Drosophila melanogaster: one gene and its partner. The protein of the gene in region 2 interacts with the protein of the main gene of each other region in a pairwise test. Each region holds a gene or a part of one and is shown on either strand. Other genes may lie near its edges.

Region 1 (9,660 bases), on a different chromosome or scaffold from region 2:
CAATTCGATACCGAAATAATGCGTCTGCTAAAGGAGCACGTCAAAAATCATGAAAAAGTGCAAAGGATAAGGCAGCCGGATTTGTGAACATTATAAACTATATTATATATATAAGCATACAAAACAATGTATTAAATGAATGTGTTATTCTACTCCTGATCCTTAAAAGACCAATGACTTGAACTTGCATTTTACCTGGTATTTAAAAACGATCATTTATACGGAATAATAAATAATACGGTTGCAAGTGATTTGGTAATTTGAATGTGCTTTCATTTTTATTTTTATTTGTTGAAAACTTCAGCTTAATCAACAAATCATGACATTTGAAAAGATACAATTTTAATATATAAAACTGAACACATTGTCAGAATGGCATATATTTAATCCAATTTGAACCCCCTTTAAAACACAGTTCTCGCTTTCCTGAAATACACATCCATACAATATATTTAAACGATTATCCAGTTAAATTCTATTCATGTTTGCCGAATGTGTGTATGACCAATCTTGTATATATAGATTAAATTTTAATACGCTTAAACACTATAGCGAAACATTACACTTAAAATGTTCATTTGCTTTTGCTTAGTCTTGCCACAAGACACGGGATGGCGCGGAGTCCATCGAAAATCGCTGAAAACACGGAGAATTAAAACGCGAATGTCTACCAGTTAACTATGGATTCGGTTCTATATTAACATGCTAAGGAGATGATTGAACAGCTTTTGCTCCAGGCTAGTCCCTTCACTATCAATTCTAGATTATATTTTGGTGTGTGATTGTTGTGTTTCGGGCGGTGGAAGCGAAAAACAAAGGGCTAATTCAATTTCAAGGGTCGTGTCGCAGCACATTTCGCAAATTTAATTATACATCATAATATTACACACTTTATGCTTAGAGAGGCTATATAAAATATATGTTAAAAGTTATTAAAAATCACGCCAAATCAAAGGCCGCCAAACGCATAGCATCTTTAGCATAATCGAACAATTAAAAGAACGGCGATTAGTTTTAAATAGGCGCACTGAAGCCGGTTGCGCAGGTAAAAAAGAAAGAGAACGGAAGTAACAACAAAATTTAACCTACTGCAAATTGTAAATAATCTAAATTTAGTCCAGTGTCTCGAAGAAGTCCTGCGGATCGACGAACATCGATGGGCTGCTGTTTCCGCTCAAGATTTCCGCTTCCTCCTCCTCCTGGCGAGCCGCCTCCGCTTCCGCTTCTTCCGCCTCCTCCTCCGCTGCCGCTGCTGCAGCCGCTGCCGCCGATGAAGATGAGCTGACCCCGCTCCTGCGACGACCCCGACGCACTGGTCCCGTGCCCGTGCCCCCGCCCACCGATGCCACAGCTGCCGACCGGAGCGTACTGCCCGTCATCACGGGATCGTAGGTCCGCGACGACGGGGCATCGGTATTGCTGGACAGGGAGGATTTGCGGCGACGTTTGTTACGCCGCCTTCGGCGTCGTTTGCTGGTCTGAACTGCCACGGCAGCCGTTGATGTGGAGGGCCCAGATCCGGTTCCGGCGCTGCCCAACGGTTCCGTAAGCACACTGGTTCGCGGCAGGGTCAGCGTGGTCTCGAACATCTTCAGCAGCGTCGGGGAACTGGGTCAATTTTGCGGGAACACATCGTCGATGGTAATGAAAGCGTCCTCGCCCAGCGAGTGCTGTCCGATCACCTTGATCAGCTCCGAGGCGTGAGCCACCAGGTATTCCAGCGGCGGACGACGCTCGAAGTTCAGGGACTCTGCATAATCATAGTAATTAGTAACTTCGTTTCGAGACAAGTGTTTAAAGACTTACCCAATATGGCCGAGTTGAGTGTGGTGGAAACACTCTCACGTCGCGAGGGACACAGCAACCAGCCCAGCGGACTGGACCAAGGATTAGAGTAGGCAATCAGACTAAATGCATCCTGTAACAACCATAAATTGAATATCTCTCGATTACGGATAATCATATTCTTATTGAAGTTATTTTTCAAATACAAAGAGTGCTTAGTCTGCAAGATACCAGTTTCTATTGTTTATACATTTTTATAGTTTACCTCCAACATTTGACGCTCCTCTTCAGTCATTAGGTTCTCCTTCTCCAGCTGCTGGCCCATGCTGGACAGTTCCTTGCCGAACTCAAGGATCTTCTCGATCACACGACCACAGTTACGCGATGAGGGGGAAACATCTACATCTGCAAGTGCTAGGGATTACGGATCTTCCCGGAAATGCCGCCAATAGATACATACCCATTTCCTCGTCGATGGCATCTAGAGAGTTGCGCACTGCGCTGGCATTGCCATTGGAGCTCGAGTCGCCGCCGTTGGAGTGACTCTGGCAGGGCTCCATTTCTACGTCCATGCTGTTGCTGTCGTGCTCCACGCACTTGTTGGAGTTGTCGTCAACCAACATGCTTGAACAGTACGTTGTGATTAAAGATCGGAGTAAGTATTACATTTGACTTACTTTTTTATATCTGGCCTATCGCCGCCTTGTGGCTTTATCACAGCTGGAATCGCAGTGTTGTTCTGTTGTTGAGTCTGATTTATGTTGACGTTGCCATTTCCACTGCCGCTCTTGCTGTGCTTGAACGTCTTGGTGGACTGTATCACTGACGTCTGGTTTGTGGGCATGGTCTGTGTGGTGGCGGTGACTTTGTTGTTCACGTTCTGTAAGACAAACCATCCGGTTCTACTTATCTTCCGCATGTAATGTTTAAAAACCCACCTCAATGTCAGCTCCATTGATCATCTCAATGAACTGGCGGCACTTCAATGCGAACCAGAGGTTTTTATTATTTTCCAGGAGTCCGGGGAAAGAACGTAGTGTATGTTCGATGGCCTGGCTCATTTTGCCAGTCAGTATAAGCTTAATGATCTCTGGAAGAGTGGATTTAAAGTTGGCATGTGTGTTGTCATTTCAAATGGCAAATATACGAACTTTGACGTGTCTTGATCGATGCCAAGTCCTCGTTGAAAGTCTGATTTGTGTAGCCATTGAAGGCCTCGGCGGTTTTGCTGAACGCATTATGCACCAAATAAGTGGAAACCAGGCTAAGCAATTTAGAAGTCATTGGGTTAAGCCATGATTTTTAAACACATTTAACAAAAACGCACCGATTCATCAGGTTTTCTGGGGTCTCCAGCAGATGTGGATATCGATCGATCTTGCGGAGCACATTGGAGCGCATCTCCTTCATCATATCGACGATCTTGTCGAACTTGAATGGTTCCTGACCAAAGTTGGCATCCACTTCCTCGCCAGGCGTCTGTAGGCCCACAGTGGGATAAAGCTTAGTCTAAACAAAAAAAAAAAAGATTAACAAACATAAAGTTAGAAGATAAAGTAGTTTTAAAATTCCATTGAATACGCACCGGCAAATCCCTAAATGCGATGCCCAGATCCACTCCGTTCTTGGTGTAGAAGCACGTGTTGTTCACAAAGTTGACGCAGCATCCAATCACATCGCCGGTGGTAAAAGTGGGGCCGTAGGTTTGGCCATTTCCCGAGGAGCTAAACGAGTTGCCATCGTCGCCGTGGTACCCGTACGACTGTTTGTCCCAACCTACTTGAGGGGGGGTGCGGTTATTAGGAATCATGGGCACATCTCGCCGAGCAGCACAATGGAACACAAACCTGGCAGGCGGTTCATACGGAACTGCTGGGCAGTTAGGCCAATGCCCATGTAGCCGTTGCGTCCCTTGGAGATTATCCGCACCTCGAAGTAGTACAGTCCGCAGGAGGACGGGATCGGATAGGCAGTGCGCACTGAGGCGGCATCACTGTGCTGCTTGCCCACACCTAAAAAGTCATGAGGTTTCAGTATTTGACAGATCTCAATTTTTATATGCTATAGCATTGCAGTAAGACAATATTCTTTTATCCATTCGGTATGAACTTCCTACTCTCGAACTTAGTACATGGGATATGTTCTTAACATAAATGAATGAGTTGGTTATCTGGACAATAAAAATAATAAAATTGATACTCTAAATAAAAAAACTGATTTTTGGCCTAAGTCTACGTCGAAACAATAATGAGACATTTTATCAATTTAAATGAAATATTTCGAATTATTGAGTTATATATTTTACCTGAAATTAAAGTAACCTAAATATACATTTTACATCTATGCAACGCACCATCTACGTAATAACTTATACATTTTACGCGCATTTTACATGTTATGTCGCACTGGTAAGCCAGCTGTTGCTGTTAGCGGTTTAACAGCCACGCGAATGAGCGTGGGAGAAGTGGGTTATGAAAAACAAAAACCACCAGTGCACAGCTGAGAGCACCTGTCTGTGCCCTGTGCGTGTGTGTGCCAGAGCGAGATAGAGCGAAAGAGAGTGAAAACTGCAGCTGCACTACGACTCTTCTTCTTTCTACTGCATTGAGTTACATCCTTCAAGACAAATATTAGATTTTGTGGATGGGATTTCGAATAAATAATAATTTCGATAATGCAATTAATAACTATGCAAGTAATAATTTAGTAGGGGCTAGCCTTATATTCGGGTGTTTTGATTTAAGGGCTAAAATATTGTATACTGTCTCTTTAGCTTTAGATCAATACAAATTTGAAAATGTAAGAACAAAGTCAAATCGTTGTAATAAAGATAAACTCCATGAACTCTGGCACTTATACCACCTGGATACTCATACTTGGCTACAGCGTAGACAAACTTATTACAATTTATTCCATATCTATGTAACTATATCTATGTAAGTGCATATTTAATTATTACATTTCATTGCGAAATTGAAATGTGCGTATTAGTGGCAATATGAAACCGATTTAGAATTGAACTATGACAGCTCCTAAGAAATCTGTATCTTATAGTTGCCTGATCGTTGCCTACTTTCTATTTTAGATGGTATGAAATGGAGAGTTGATTTATAGAGAAGTTCGAATCCTACTCACCCTTGTAGGTGACCCTCAAGTTGTTCTGCGACAAACCGATGGACAAGCACTTGTCATGGGGACTCCAGCACCTGGGCAGCGGAGTCTCGCTCTCGTTGACATTGGGATAGAGCAGCCTTAGGGGATCCACGCCCTGGTGCTGTGGCGAATTGGAGCTGGCGGCGGGGGTCGAGTGATGGCGGCGACCACCGACCCGCGGCGATGATGTCTGGGTGCTGCTGCGGGGATTGTGGCTGGGGAACATGTCGTTGCTGAAGTGACTGCCGTTGTTGCTGTAGAAGTGACGAGTGCGTCGCGAGAGGCTGTTACTGTTGCTGTTGTTATTATTGTTGTTGTGATTGCTGATATTGTTGTTGTTATTGTTGCTGCTCCTTGGGGCTCGTGAGGCTGAGGAGTAGCGCGGCAAAACGGCCACCGAGTGCAGGCGCTGGGCACCGGAAACGGAAGCGACTTCGCCGGCTCTGTCGACCCGGTCCTCTACCACCTCCTCCTCTTCATCCACCTCCTCGTCGTCGTCTTCGTAGTCGTCGATGCGCTCCACGGCGTTGGCGTCTATGGTCTCGGCTATAGCGTTTGCGTCTATAATCAGTGGCGGCTGCTGTTCGTTAAGATCCTGCGATCCGGAGTCCTGCTCGTCCAGATCTTCGAGAAGCAGCGGTGGCGGTGGCTCGGCTTCTGGTTCGATTTCGGGATCTCGAACTTGCGGCTCATCCGGTTCTTGGTTGGTATCTTCTCGTCCTAATGTCTCCCGGTTTTCCAGCGATGCTTGTGGTGGATGCTCTTCCGGATTCTGTGATTCTCGGTGCCGAATAAGCCCCTCTATGTGATGCAGCTCCTGGTTTTGCTCCGCTTGTTGATCTTGGTGCACTGCGGGATATTCTTGATTCTGTTGATCCAGCAATGGGTGCAGCTCCTGGTCCTGCGCGGGCGAATTCTCCTGCTGATCCTGCTGCAATGGTGGCGCCTCTTGCTGCTGCTGCTGCTCCCGCTCGTCCCGCTGCGGTGCCGTCGATGAAGTCGTGGGTGGCGGTGCAGTCTGGTGGAAAGTAGGAGTGGGTGAGTGATCATGTGGTGAATTCTCGCGAGCTTCCGTTTCAGATGCATTCAATGGGGGACTAGGGTGATCGGGATGGGGTTGGTCGTGAGAGGACGCGGGGACGGGCGGCGAGGGTGTGGGCGAATGAGAGTGTGACCGAGACGTAGAGGGGGCTATTTCGGCACCCATGGCTCCCGATTGAGAGAGCTGGTGAGAGCTGCTGCTGGCGCTGCTGTTGTTGCTATTGCTGTTGCTCTCCGAAGAGAGTGGCGGGGCCTCTTCGACGTTCTCCATGTTATGGTTGAGTTGTCGTTGTTGTTTATCTTGTTGTGGTTGCAAAAGGAGGCTGAGAGAGAGACGTTCAGCGAGGAATTAGAGAGAGTGAGCCAGCAACGAGCGAGCAAGAGAGAGCGGATGAAGTGCATATGCAGATGCTGTGTGTGTATACGTGAGGAGTGACGAAGGGAGGGGTAAGGAGGCTAGCAAACACAAACAACTTCCAAAATGCAATGTCCTTTGTCCGTTACACCGTTCACCTCATTCGCACTCTCTCAATCACTCGTGCACTCTCTTTCGTTAACTGACCCAAAATACAAACAACAACAGCAACAGCAGTTTACAGTTGCGACGCGCAGCTGCAGCACAAAAAAATACAACAGCAACAACTACAGCTACAAAATTGCATGCACGAAAATGCAAAAAATCAATAGCCAAACGATATTAGCCAATGCTTTCTGCACTTTTTAACATTGCTAGCAAGTCAGTTTTGATTATTCTACATTTGTAAATGCCTTTTTACGTCGTACTTTTCTGAAGTTTTCTTTGTTTTCCCTTCTAACCAACGAGTCACTGTCCACACACACACAAACAAGCACCAGCTCACACACTGGCAGCACTCTCTCCCTCTCGCACACACGCATATATGCATGCAGCAAGCACACACACTCGCAGCTCCCACACGCAGAGAAGAAAATTATCATTTTTTTTTAGCTGGGGCAAATGATCTTTGTTGGGGTTTTATTTAGCTGATGAATTCGATTTGGCTGTCATTCTATGCTGTTGATCGGATCTACAGTTGATATTTCCTTATATTTACCTTCAAACGATTGCTATGAGTTGTTAAATCTACGAAGTTTTGACTTTATGCTATAGAGCTGGAACAAAAGCCGATGTTCATTCGATGATATCGATATCTATTCCGACACCTGACAACATCAGAGTGCGCTCGGCAGCTATCGATTATTCTTATCGAATAAATCTCTTTAGGCGCCTAAATTCAAAATTTGATAAGCAGTAACACACTTCCCAAAGTGCCATTAAAATCTTAAAATGTTTTTAGGTAAAACCCTTGACAATACTTTTGGAGGGTATTATTGCACTATTGCTAGCAATCTTATTTTTTGGGTAAAATTAAACCTTACGTAATTCGTTATGTTTTTTAATGCTAATTTAATCTTTTAAATATTGGTTTAAATTATAAAAAAAGATCATATTATCTATTTTTAGCGCATACTTTACGCCATACCGATAAGAATATTAAGGGCAATTATTACTTAGAAACTTCTGCCTATGGTATAAAAGTATGACGAATGTCAAACATACGCGTTTTACATTGAAACCAGATTTAAAAATGCATCAGCGCAAAAAACTTTAGTGATTTCTAGTACTCTGCCCAGAATGTAATTAAGAGATCGCTGCACTGGTAAAAAAAACCGCCATAAATTCAAAAGATTCGATTCGATTGACAGACTATCGATGCTGCAGAATTTACCGGTTCGCTCTACGGCTTCTCTCAAATGCTTTGACACTTTCTATCTCACTCTTCTAATCGTTCTTGTTCGTTTCGCCTCAACCTTCACTCTGTATTTTAGTTACTTCCTTTCCGAATAGAAATCCTATCACGTAACTGATAATAAACAGTGGAAAATTACCACACGTCTGGTGTAGAGACGAATGTTGCTGGATTCTTGATTAGACTTTATACACTAGCACAAAAACTGTACTTGTAACTTATGAAACACGATCGAGCTACTGGGAGGGAACTCTTCTAATTAAACTTATCAATTGTTGCATTTTTGGTATCCATTATGACTAGATATTGAATTTTAACCATATGATTCCTATTTGGGCTGCTTTCATGCGTACTGTCTTTTGCCTTCTGAATGAGCGATCTGCCCATCCGACTTCCCAAATCCATTCCATCTTTATGTGTGACTTACTGAGAGAAAACCTATGCTGGTGTGCTAATTTTCGATAGACCCACGCACACAGTCTCACGATTTCACTCGCTCTTCACTTTCAATTAGAGGCTCGTTTTCTGTACGTGAACGGGAGAGCCGTGCGATCTATGGAAGTGTGCGATTTTTGCAGGCACTCACAAATACCATCACGTTGCTCGCCGCTCTCTCGCTCTCAATATCCGCCTATCGGCGTGGCTGTATGTTTGCAGGTGTTGGTGCTTCGCCTCTGTTTACCAACACCATTTAACATTTAAATGCGCTCTCGCTCTCTGTTTATGTTTGGAGCCGGCAAAACCGTCAACTGCATCAAATCAGCTGTTTTGATACTAGATCCTGAAGGAATTGGTTCTGGACTGATTGATTTATTCGAACAAGTTTAAATTAAAAGAAATATGCGAAACTGTACTTCATTTTGCGTTACATCTAAAATGTGTTCGTCACAGAGTCCATTTTTGTGTGACGCCCCAAACAGGTTTTTTTAAGGCCCCTCTTGAGGTTCACACAAATATGGAGACCCCGTACGAGGCCTCATCTTTCCCCTCACAATGTCCCCAATTATCACTGAGTTGTTTGTTAGTCTACCCGCAGCACCACGTACTATACATACAAACATACATATGTACATATATGATACGATAAGCCAGCTCCCGTTCTCTGTCTCTATCGGTCCCCTTTCATCAAATTGATCCAGTCGGGTATAAAAGACAGCGAGCTCTCCCAGTCAGTATTCAGTAAGCAACAAGTGTGCGAGCTAATAACAGCTACCAGCTGAGCAACTAACAAGTTTTTTTCCAAGTGAAACTAAAAATCAAACAGCAAGATGCGTTTGGGACAGACCGTACCTAACTTCGAGGCCGACACAACCAAGGGGCCCATTAAATTCCACGAGTGGCAGGGCAACTCGTAAGTGCCATCAAACCCTTTTTCTCTGATCGAATCTTACCAATTCTCCTTCGGATCGCCAGCTGGGTGGTGCTCTTCTCTCACCCCGCCGACTTCACTCCCGTCTGCACCACTGAGCTGGGCAGGATTGCGGTGCACCAGCCGGAGTTTGCCAAGCGGAACACCAAGTGCCTGGCGCATTCCGTTGACGCATTGAACTCGCACGTGGACTGGGTGAACGACATCAAGAGCTATTGCCTGGACATTCCCGGGGACTTCCCCTACCCGATCATCGCCGACCCTACTCGCGACCTGGCCGTCACCCTGGGCATGCTCGACGAGGAGCAGAAGAAGGATCCCGAGGTGGGTAAGACCATCCGCGCCCTGTTCATCATCAGTCCGGACCATAAGGTGCGCCTCTCCATGTTTTACCCCATGTCCACTGGTCGCAACGTTGAGTAAGTACCTCTTTCTGGCTACAACTATTGTTAATCTCAACTGACGATCCTGTAATCTTACAGCGAGATTCTGAGGACCATTGACTCCCTGCAGCTGACTGATCGCCTCAAGGTGGTGGCCACT
Region 2 (7,778 bases):
ACCAGAAGCACGACGAGCACCGTGACCAGCTCAAGATCCCGCGGCGGCCCAAGTGGACCAAGGAGACGAGCGCCGAGGAGCTAGTGCGAGCCGAGAACGAGGCATTTCTCGACTGGCGCCGCGACCTGGCGCTGCTGCAGGAGGACGAGGAGATCTTGATGACTCCGTATGAGAAGAACCTGGAGTTCTGGCGGCAGCTGTGGCGCGTAGTGGAGCGATCTGACGTCGTTGTGCAGATCGTAGACGCCCGTAATCCGCTGCTGTTCCGCAGCGCCGACCTTGAGCGCTACGTAAAGGAGGTGGAACCTAGCAAGATGAACATGATCCTGGTAAACAAGTCGGACCTGCTCACTGAGGAACAGCGTCGCCACTGGGCGGAGTACTTTGACAGCGAGGGTATTCGCACGGCCTTCTACTCGGCCACGCTGGTAGAGGAGGAGTTGAAGCGGGAGGCGGAGGAGTGCCTGGATTCCTTTCCCGAGGTGCAACAGCTGCGCAGAGCAGTTGAGGAGATAAAACAGTCGTTGGATAGCGTGGAGGACGCTTTGAACGTTATCGAGCAGAAATATAAGACGATTCCCGAGACTCAAAACGATGAGCTGCCACGATTGCCCGGGGACAAGAACAGTCCCCGACTGCTGTCCCGCCTGGAGCTCATTGAGTTCCTGCGAAACATCTACACCGGTCCCCGGCACACAGAGCAGCACGTGACCGTCGGAATGGTCGGCTACCCAAACGTTGGCAAAAGTAGCACCATCAACTCGCTGATGACAGTGAAGAAGGTGTCCGTTTCGGCCACGCCGGGCAAAACTAAACGCTTCCAGACGCTTTTCCTGGACAAGGACATACTGCTCTGCGACTGTCCCGGTCTGGTGATGCCGAGTTTTGTGTTAACCAAGGCGGACATGTTGCTCAACGGCATCCTGCCCATTGACCAAATGCGCGATCACGTTCCCGCCGTCAACTTGCTGTGCGAGCGCATTCCGCGCCACGTCCTTGAAGACAAATACGGTATTGTGATAGCCAAGCCGCTGGAAGGCGAGGACATGGAAAGGCCACCGCATTCGGAGGAGCTGCTGCTGGCTTATGGATGTAAGTGCCAATGCTTTGCGCACGCATTTCAGTATTTCACAACGCACTCTTTCTCGCTCTTTTCCAGACAATCGCGGTTTTATGACCTCCAACGGGCAGCCGGATCAGGCGCGTTCCGCCAGGTATGTGCTTAAAGACTACGTCAATGGCAGACTGCTCTACGCCATGAGCCCGCCCTCTGTACCGCAGACCGAGTATCACACCTTTCCCGAACGCCAGCGCAGGGTCATCGAGGAATCACAGCTGCCCGGCCAACAGCAGCGAGCCATGCGGGTGAGATTTGCCCTTTGCACTAGACGTGATTCCTTTGCTAACTGATCGCGTTTTCCGCAGATCAACAAAAGCACGTCCAAGGAGCTAGACAACCAATTCTTCTCCGACAAGCCTACGCACGCCCACGTCAAAGGACGCACTAACTTCCCTAACGTGCGCCTGGCCAACGACGGGTCCCTAGTAGCCGGCAATGATCCGGCGGCCAAGCCCTGGCGTCATGTGAAGAAGGAGAGGCGCGAGAAGCTGCGCAAAAAGTTCTCGCACCTGGACGAGCACTGATTGTAGCCCATTAGTTATTTATTCCGAAGGGTGTGTCTAAGAGGCACTTGTACATTTTAAGCATTAAACCTACGTATATACATATATATTAAAGTCCCCCCGACTTCGAGAGTTTGAAGGCCCACAATCTCAGACTGAAAGAGTTATATTGCGCAACTAGCAGATTGAGAGAAACATAGATAAGCCATCTGATGGCCCAGCCTGGACACAACGATTAACACAAAGATAGCATATATTTAGCATACACACCAATGAAAGCAAACTGTTGTTGGAATGGCGCCCCCAATTGAGTTTAAGAGATGCGTGAATGGAAGGTAATTTCGAGATGCGGAGGAGCGCAGTTGCGCGGAGAAAAGAAGCCTGCACTTTGACCGCGTGATAAGCGCAGATGCTTACGGCTCTTGTCTTCTATCACTTGGCCACAGTCTCTATCACGCAGTCTTCAGCGATGGCCACAAACGAGAGCTGCAAGCACTTCAGGGAGCTGGTCGTCGAACAGCGTTCTGGGCTGCTCCACATACGCTTCCAGCGGCGCTGGCAACGCCGAACCCTCTACGAGCTGATGCGCGCCCTGGACCTGGCGAGTGCAGACGCCGCCGTTAAGGTGGTCGTGCTCTCGGGCGAGTTTTCTGCAGCATGTGGCGGTGAGATGGAACCGTTGGCTCTCAAACAGGGTCTGGAGAATAGGAGTAGGCGTACCGCTTCCCACGAAGAAGCTGTGGGCAGTGGTGATGCCGAGGAGCAGTACATCCATGAGAAGGCGGCCAATTTTGTGATGCGCTCGCTGGCCAAGAAGCTGCTTGTGCACCGCAAACTCCTAGTGGCTTTTGTGGAGAGGCAGTGCGTCGGTCTGGGCCTGAGCGTGTGCAGCCTGTGCGATCTGGTCTTCGCAACGGAGTTATCTGCCTTTGTGCCCGCTTTCTCGCACCTGGATCCCTGCACCAAGGTGGGTCCCGGCTGGACTGTGCCACACGTCCACTGGCTGCTTCGTCTGGGCGATCAAGCGAGCTCCAGCATTGCCCTCCAGTGTGGCCTTGTGGCCAGTGTGGTGCGAGAGCCGCAGGAGTTTTGGCACCGCGTCGACCAATACTTGCGCTTGCCTTCCGCCTCCCTGTTGGCGACAAAGCGCCTCCTGTTTCGTCCCTGGCAGGACTCCCTCTTGGCCGAATTGCGCGAGGAGGGCACTCCGCTGGCTGCGCAGCGACGCCGCTTGGCCAGATCCTCGCTGTAGGGTTGCGCTTCCAGATCCGTTGAATCGATTAAGTAAATAAATAGCGATTATAAAATAATGACATGTCCCCATGGTATTTCTTTTCATTCCTTTCATTGGAGCTCCATGACTTAACTTAAACTTTAAATCAAAATCTGCAACGGAAACGGGTATGCATATACAGATGGGCAGCACTGTTTTCGATATCTTTCGACTGGAAGGCACAGCTGATTGCCGGCGCGTGTTGTTTTTTTTTTGTTGCTCGCCGCAAAACTGCGAAAGTAAAATCTCGTAATTTTGGGGAAGATTAATTAACTTGGGCAAAATGCAGCGAGCACGACTGTTGCGGAACGTGTGGCTCTGCAGGCAGCGCTTGGGCCATCTGCCAGGACGCAGCGCTTCCTCCGCCAGCCTGGCATTCCGTTATGCAACGAAGCCTGCGGCGCCAGCGGTGCCGTTCTCGCTGCTCCAGATGCGATCCCTGGGAACGGGTGGCGTCCTCAGTGCGGTGGAGCGAAGAAGCCGGCGCCCCGCCTCCTCCTCTGAAAAACCGAAAGCCAGCGTGGCGGATGCGTGGACACAGCTGGAGGCGTACTACCGGCAGCACGATCTGATCAACTTTGAGCACTGCCAGCGCCTGCTGGAGCTCCTGCAGGAGTCTGCGTCGCCGCTAGGAGTCGGCATCGAAGAGGTGCACTTCCTTCTAGGGTCCTGTGTGCCCGAACTGCTTCCTGCTCAGAGCAGCCAGGAGCGTCTTCAGCTCTTCAAGGGACTCTGGGCTCAACTGATCAAGTTGGGCCAGCCCACGCTGGCACATTACCACACGAAGCTCCAGGTGCTGCGCCAGAACCGTTTGCCTCTGACTGACTATCGCTCGTTGCTGGCGGAGATTGCCGTCTACCATGGAGCAGCCGATTCCACCTTGTACGGCGCTCTTTTGGACGTGGCCGGCGCCGCCGGAAACATGCGCATGGCCACCGAGATTTTGTCGGAGATGCGCGAGCGCAGCCTCGCCCTCACGGAGCACAACTTTCACGCCCTGCTTTTGGGCCACGCCCGCAGCGGTGATCTGCCCGGGGCGGAGTCCGTCCTAGCCAGCATGCGGGCCGCAGGAATACAGCAAGGCAGCAGCACTCAGGCCATTTGGTTCGAGGCTCTGCTGGAAAACGGTCAGTTGGCACAGGCCAAGGAGCTGCTGCAGGTGGAGCACGGATTCACCGCCCCTCAGCTGCTCCAGATGCTGCGGGGTCTGCTCGCCAGCAAGGATGTCGACACGGATCTAATCCAACTGCTTGTCAAGGAACTGCCCCGCGAGTTTCTAACAGGTATCGACCTGCCGCCCGCCATCAGAAGCCTGTGCATTCAGCTGGTGCACCAAGGACGCACCGAAGTCGTCATACAGCTCGTAGGTGCGTTGCCCGCTCCGAAGTTCGAGTTGCAGAATCAGAACGTGGATGAGTACGGTGCACTTCTGCTGCAGGAGTTCTTCCGCGCCCAAGTTCCGTTGGACCAAACAATCCAGTTCGCCGGTCAACTAGTGCAGCGGAACCAGAACGTCCGCGCCCTGCATTTGGTGGCGGAGTTGGCCCTTCGCCGTCAGCCATCATCCGCGCTACGCTGCCTGGAGGATCTATCTGCAGCCGGCGAGGAACTTCGTCCGCATTACTTCTGGCCCCTGATCTTGCACCATTACCGGCGGGAGGGCGAAAGCGGCATGCTACGCCTGGTTTCTGAAATGCGGCGCCTGCGCGTTGAGTGCGACGAGGAAACGTTGCGGCACTACCTGTTTCCCCACCTGCGCCAAACCCTGGTGCAGCCCTTGGAGGCCGTGAAGGCACTTGAATCGGCGGGGGTCAAGCCTTCCCAGACCCTGTGCCCGGTTGTGAGCCACTTGCTGCAGCAGCATCAGATGTCCGAGGTGCTGGACTTGCTTGATCGGTATCCGACACGCTTGGACCTGGCCACGCTGCTCCAACCACTTTCTTCGCTGGCGGTCAATGCCCGTGCCACGAAGCGTTTCGAGGTATTTGCCAAAGTGATCCAAGCCCTGCAGCAGAAGGCACTCAAACGGGGAGAAGATTTTGTGGGCTCCTTGCTGCTGCAAATGACTGGACCTCAGACGCGTCTGCGCCAGGATGCCACCTCGTTGCGACGTTTTCTGCACGAACTGAGACGCCTAGAGCTACAAATCTCACCCGCTGCCTCCGAAGCTCTACTCTCCGTGGTCCGGCACGCCACTGATGACGTTGACCTCATCCAGGATCTGGCCAAAACGCTGCAGAAGATGAAAAACCCACAGCTCGCCCTGCCAGCTGACACGGTCTCGCTCCACGGAGGCTTCATCAAGCACCCGCGCGACATGAGCATAGACGAGCTCGAGTGCCACCTAGTCGAGCTGGAGTCCAAGCAGCTGAACCCGCGAGGCGTGTTGCGTCGCTTGCTGCAGCTCTCGGTGCGCAGTGGGCGCTTGGAGCGCGCACAGCAGCTGTTGGCCAAGTGCCAAGTTCTGAAGGTTCAGGAAAGCGCAGGCATGATGGCCTCCATATTCGACCTACACATCAAGCTGCGCGACTTGCCGCGCGCCCAGGAGAGCTTGGAGCGACTGAGCAGCATGTATCCAGGTACCTAACAACTTACTACTAGATGTGAACTGCATTAATCCGCATACCGTTCTCTCTTAAGCCTTTCAGATTGACGAGCACAAAGTGATCGACTATGCCGCCCTCCTGGTCCAAGGCCAGCAGCTGGAGGCCGCAAAGCAGCTGCTCCAGCGACGCGCGGAGCAGCATAAGGTTGTCGGTGGCGACTATGTGATGAAGAACGTATGGCAATTGCTGACCAACGTGGGCCAGCTGGCCGCCTCTTCACATGCAGGTGGCGAGAGCTCCAAACAACTTAACCAGACTCGCGAGTGGTTGGACTTCCTCAGGGGTCTGGGCTACTGTCAATCGCAAAATGCCCTACTGGGACCAGTGGTCCGCGAGTGGCTGTTGAAGGGCAACTTGGACGCTGCGGTGGCCGAGTTTCAGCGACTGGCTAACACTCACAAGCACACGCCTCTGCAGTTCGAGCTCTTGTCCCTGCTGGTGCGACTGGGCAACGGGGACGAGCAGGAGCTGACCCGTTTTCCCGGCGTCACGGCCGAGTCCGCGCAGCAGCACCTAGCGGTGGTTACTGCGACTGTGAGTCGCATCCACGGAGCGGCCAATATGAACAGCGCTCTGCTGCTCGCCCTGGCCGAATCCGGAAAGGAGACACAGCTGCGCCGGCTGATCATCAACCCAGAGTTCCGCATCAACCACGAGCTCCTCGTGAAGAATTGCGAGCACTTGGGACAGGAGGGCGCTGTGCGGACGCTCCTGCGGCTGGCGCGCGGAGTGAGGGGTGTCCAGCGGACCATAGACGAGCAGAAGATCTACGACCTCCTGTTGGCCCAGTTCTGCCGTAGCAACGACTACGAGGCGGCGTTGGATCTCTTTGAGCGCTTGGAGGCCGACGACGAGCTGAAGGTGTCGCATGAGTTCCTTCGCAACCTTGTGCAGCTGCTGCAGGTGAACCAGGTTGAAATTCCCAGTACAATCGCCCTGCGCGCCCACGTTAGATAGCCGGGCGACGAGATAGATAGATCGTCGCTCTTATCCTTAGTTATACACTTGGTATGTATGTACACACATAAATTAGTGCAGTAAATACGAGACGGTATACCTGCAAGTCTGAAAGATCTTTTATAGCTTCTGGGTGTCCTGGTGCCACGTCTAGTAGGCCTGGCTTTTGAAACCTATTGTCATCTGGAATCTGTGCTCCGAAACGGTCACAAAGTTTTCACTCGTAGCATACAACAGTCTCCTAACAGCTTCTCCGAAACCCACTCCCAATCTAAATTTTAGTTTTTATTCGCGTTCAATCTGTGCAAGTTGCAACCCCTCCCTATCCAACCATGAAGCGGCTGTCCCGACGTCCGGTCTCCGATGAGCAGAAGGCCCAGATGGGCAACCAGATTCATGAGCAGGGCGCAATAGAGGTATTCATGTCGGTGGCCACCGTCTCGCCGCTACTCCGAACGCGGGTCCTTCCGCAGCTAAAGGATCAACAGGATCAGCTGAAGGACAAAAAGCAGGACCGCAGGCCGAAACCGGAGCCAGAGAAACTCGAGAGCGGCGCTCAGGGCGACGCCGGTTCCGCTTCCTCGACGTCGGCCCACGCTGTAAAGCTCTTGCCAATCGAGGGAGATCCAGCCAAGCTGAAGGCGCTGACCAGCCGCCAGCAAATTGCCAGCCTGCTCAATCACCTCGGCGACGGCGCAGAGGGCGATGGCGAGGCCAAGCAGATCGTGATGGAGCTGCTCGGCAGCGGGGTGCAGCCGCACTCGGCCATCGAGCGCGTTTCCGAACAGCTGTTGCACGTGCTGCGGGAGCAGACTCTGATGGAGGCCGGCATATTCGTCGGCAATGAGCGGTATCGCTTCTTTAAGGGCGTGCTGCAGAACTACGCCAAGATATACGCGGCGCGCAAATTTATAGATAAGCTGCCGAAGCTAGATCAGCTTGGCCCGGATGCGGGTGCGGAGCGCGAGCTGTTCGCCCGCGTCGTTGCGGAGGAGGTGCTGCAGATCCCGCAGCTGCTGCGCCAGCTGAGGTCGTCCCTGTCGAAGATGGAGTTCTTCAACGAGGACACCGCCTTCAAGGCCTACCTGGAAGTCCGTTATCACCCGCAGGCCCGTATCCTGTGCGAACTAATGCTCACCCGCATCTCTCGCGTCTTCCTCTGCATTGTCGGCTCACCATTCTTCCTGTACTTCACCGAGCACGAGCTCACGCACATCTTGCGAAACTGTTACCTCAGCGTCAACTCGGAGATCGAGGTGAGATCGTCAAATCATTTCCGTGTGGTCACTGGGTCATTCTCCTTCTAATTCAAACGATAA

The links.
Region 1: the proteins of Lrpprc2 (region 2) and RanBPM interact in a two-hybrid assay, tested with the Drosophila melanogaster proteins (one large-scale study listed by BioGRID).

Annotation. Positions count from the first base shown.
Region 1 is NT_033778.4:10,427,176-10,436,835, reverse strand, and holds RanBPM (Ran-binding protein M), read right to left. Parts: upstream 7,125-9,660; 5' UTR 7,053-7,124; intron 6,832-7,052; exon of another isoform or gene 6,763-6,831; intron 6,303-6,762; 5' UTR 6,251-6,302; coding exon 4,921-6,250; intron 3,798-4,920; coding exon 3,633-3,797; intron 3,565-3,632; coding exon of another isoform or gene 3,562-3,564; coding exon 3,371-3,561; intron 3,295-3,370; coding exon 3,113-3,294; intron 3,050-3,112; coding exon 2,937-3,049; intron 2,876-2,936; coding exon 2,724-2,875; intron 2,666-2,723; coding exon 2,463-2,665; intron 2,410-2,462; coding exon 2,246-2,409; intron 2,200-2,245; coding exon of another isoform or gene 2,191-2,199; coding exon 2,051-2,190; intron 1,919-2,050; coding exon 1,807-1,918; intron 1,751-1,806; coding exon 1,614-1,750; coding exon of another isoform or gene 1,113-1,613; 3' UTR 255-1,112; downstream 1-254. Other genes in the region: CG12895 (uncharacterized protein), read left to right, coding at 1-87; CG12896 (uncharacterized protein), read left to right, coding at 9,017-9,099, 9,162-9,536, 9,600-9,660. UniProt on the Drosophila melanogaster protein: May be involved in JAK/STAT signaling. Isoform D is required for the proper arrangement of niche cells and is autonomously required for proper niche cell size, isoform C negatively regulates the adhesive properties of the niche.
Region 2 is NC_004354.4:1,455,960-1,463,737, reverse strand, and holds Lrpprc2 (Leucine-rich pentatricopeptide repeat containing 2), read left to right. Parts: upstream 1-3,120; 5' UTR 3,121-3,179; coding exon 3,180-5,475; intron 5,476-5,536; coding exon 5,537-6,459; 3' UTR 6,460-6,563; downstream 6,564-7,778. Other genes in the region: Ns3 (nucleostemin 3), read left to right, coding at 1-1,092, 1,160-1,365, 1,426-1,644; CG14787 (uncharacterized protein), read left to right, coding at 2,093-2,875; CG14785 (uncharacterized protein), read left to right, coding at 6,792-7,715.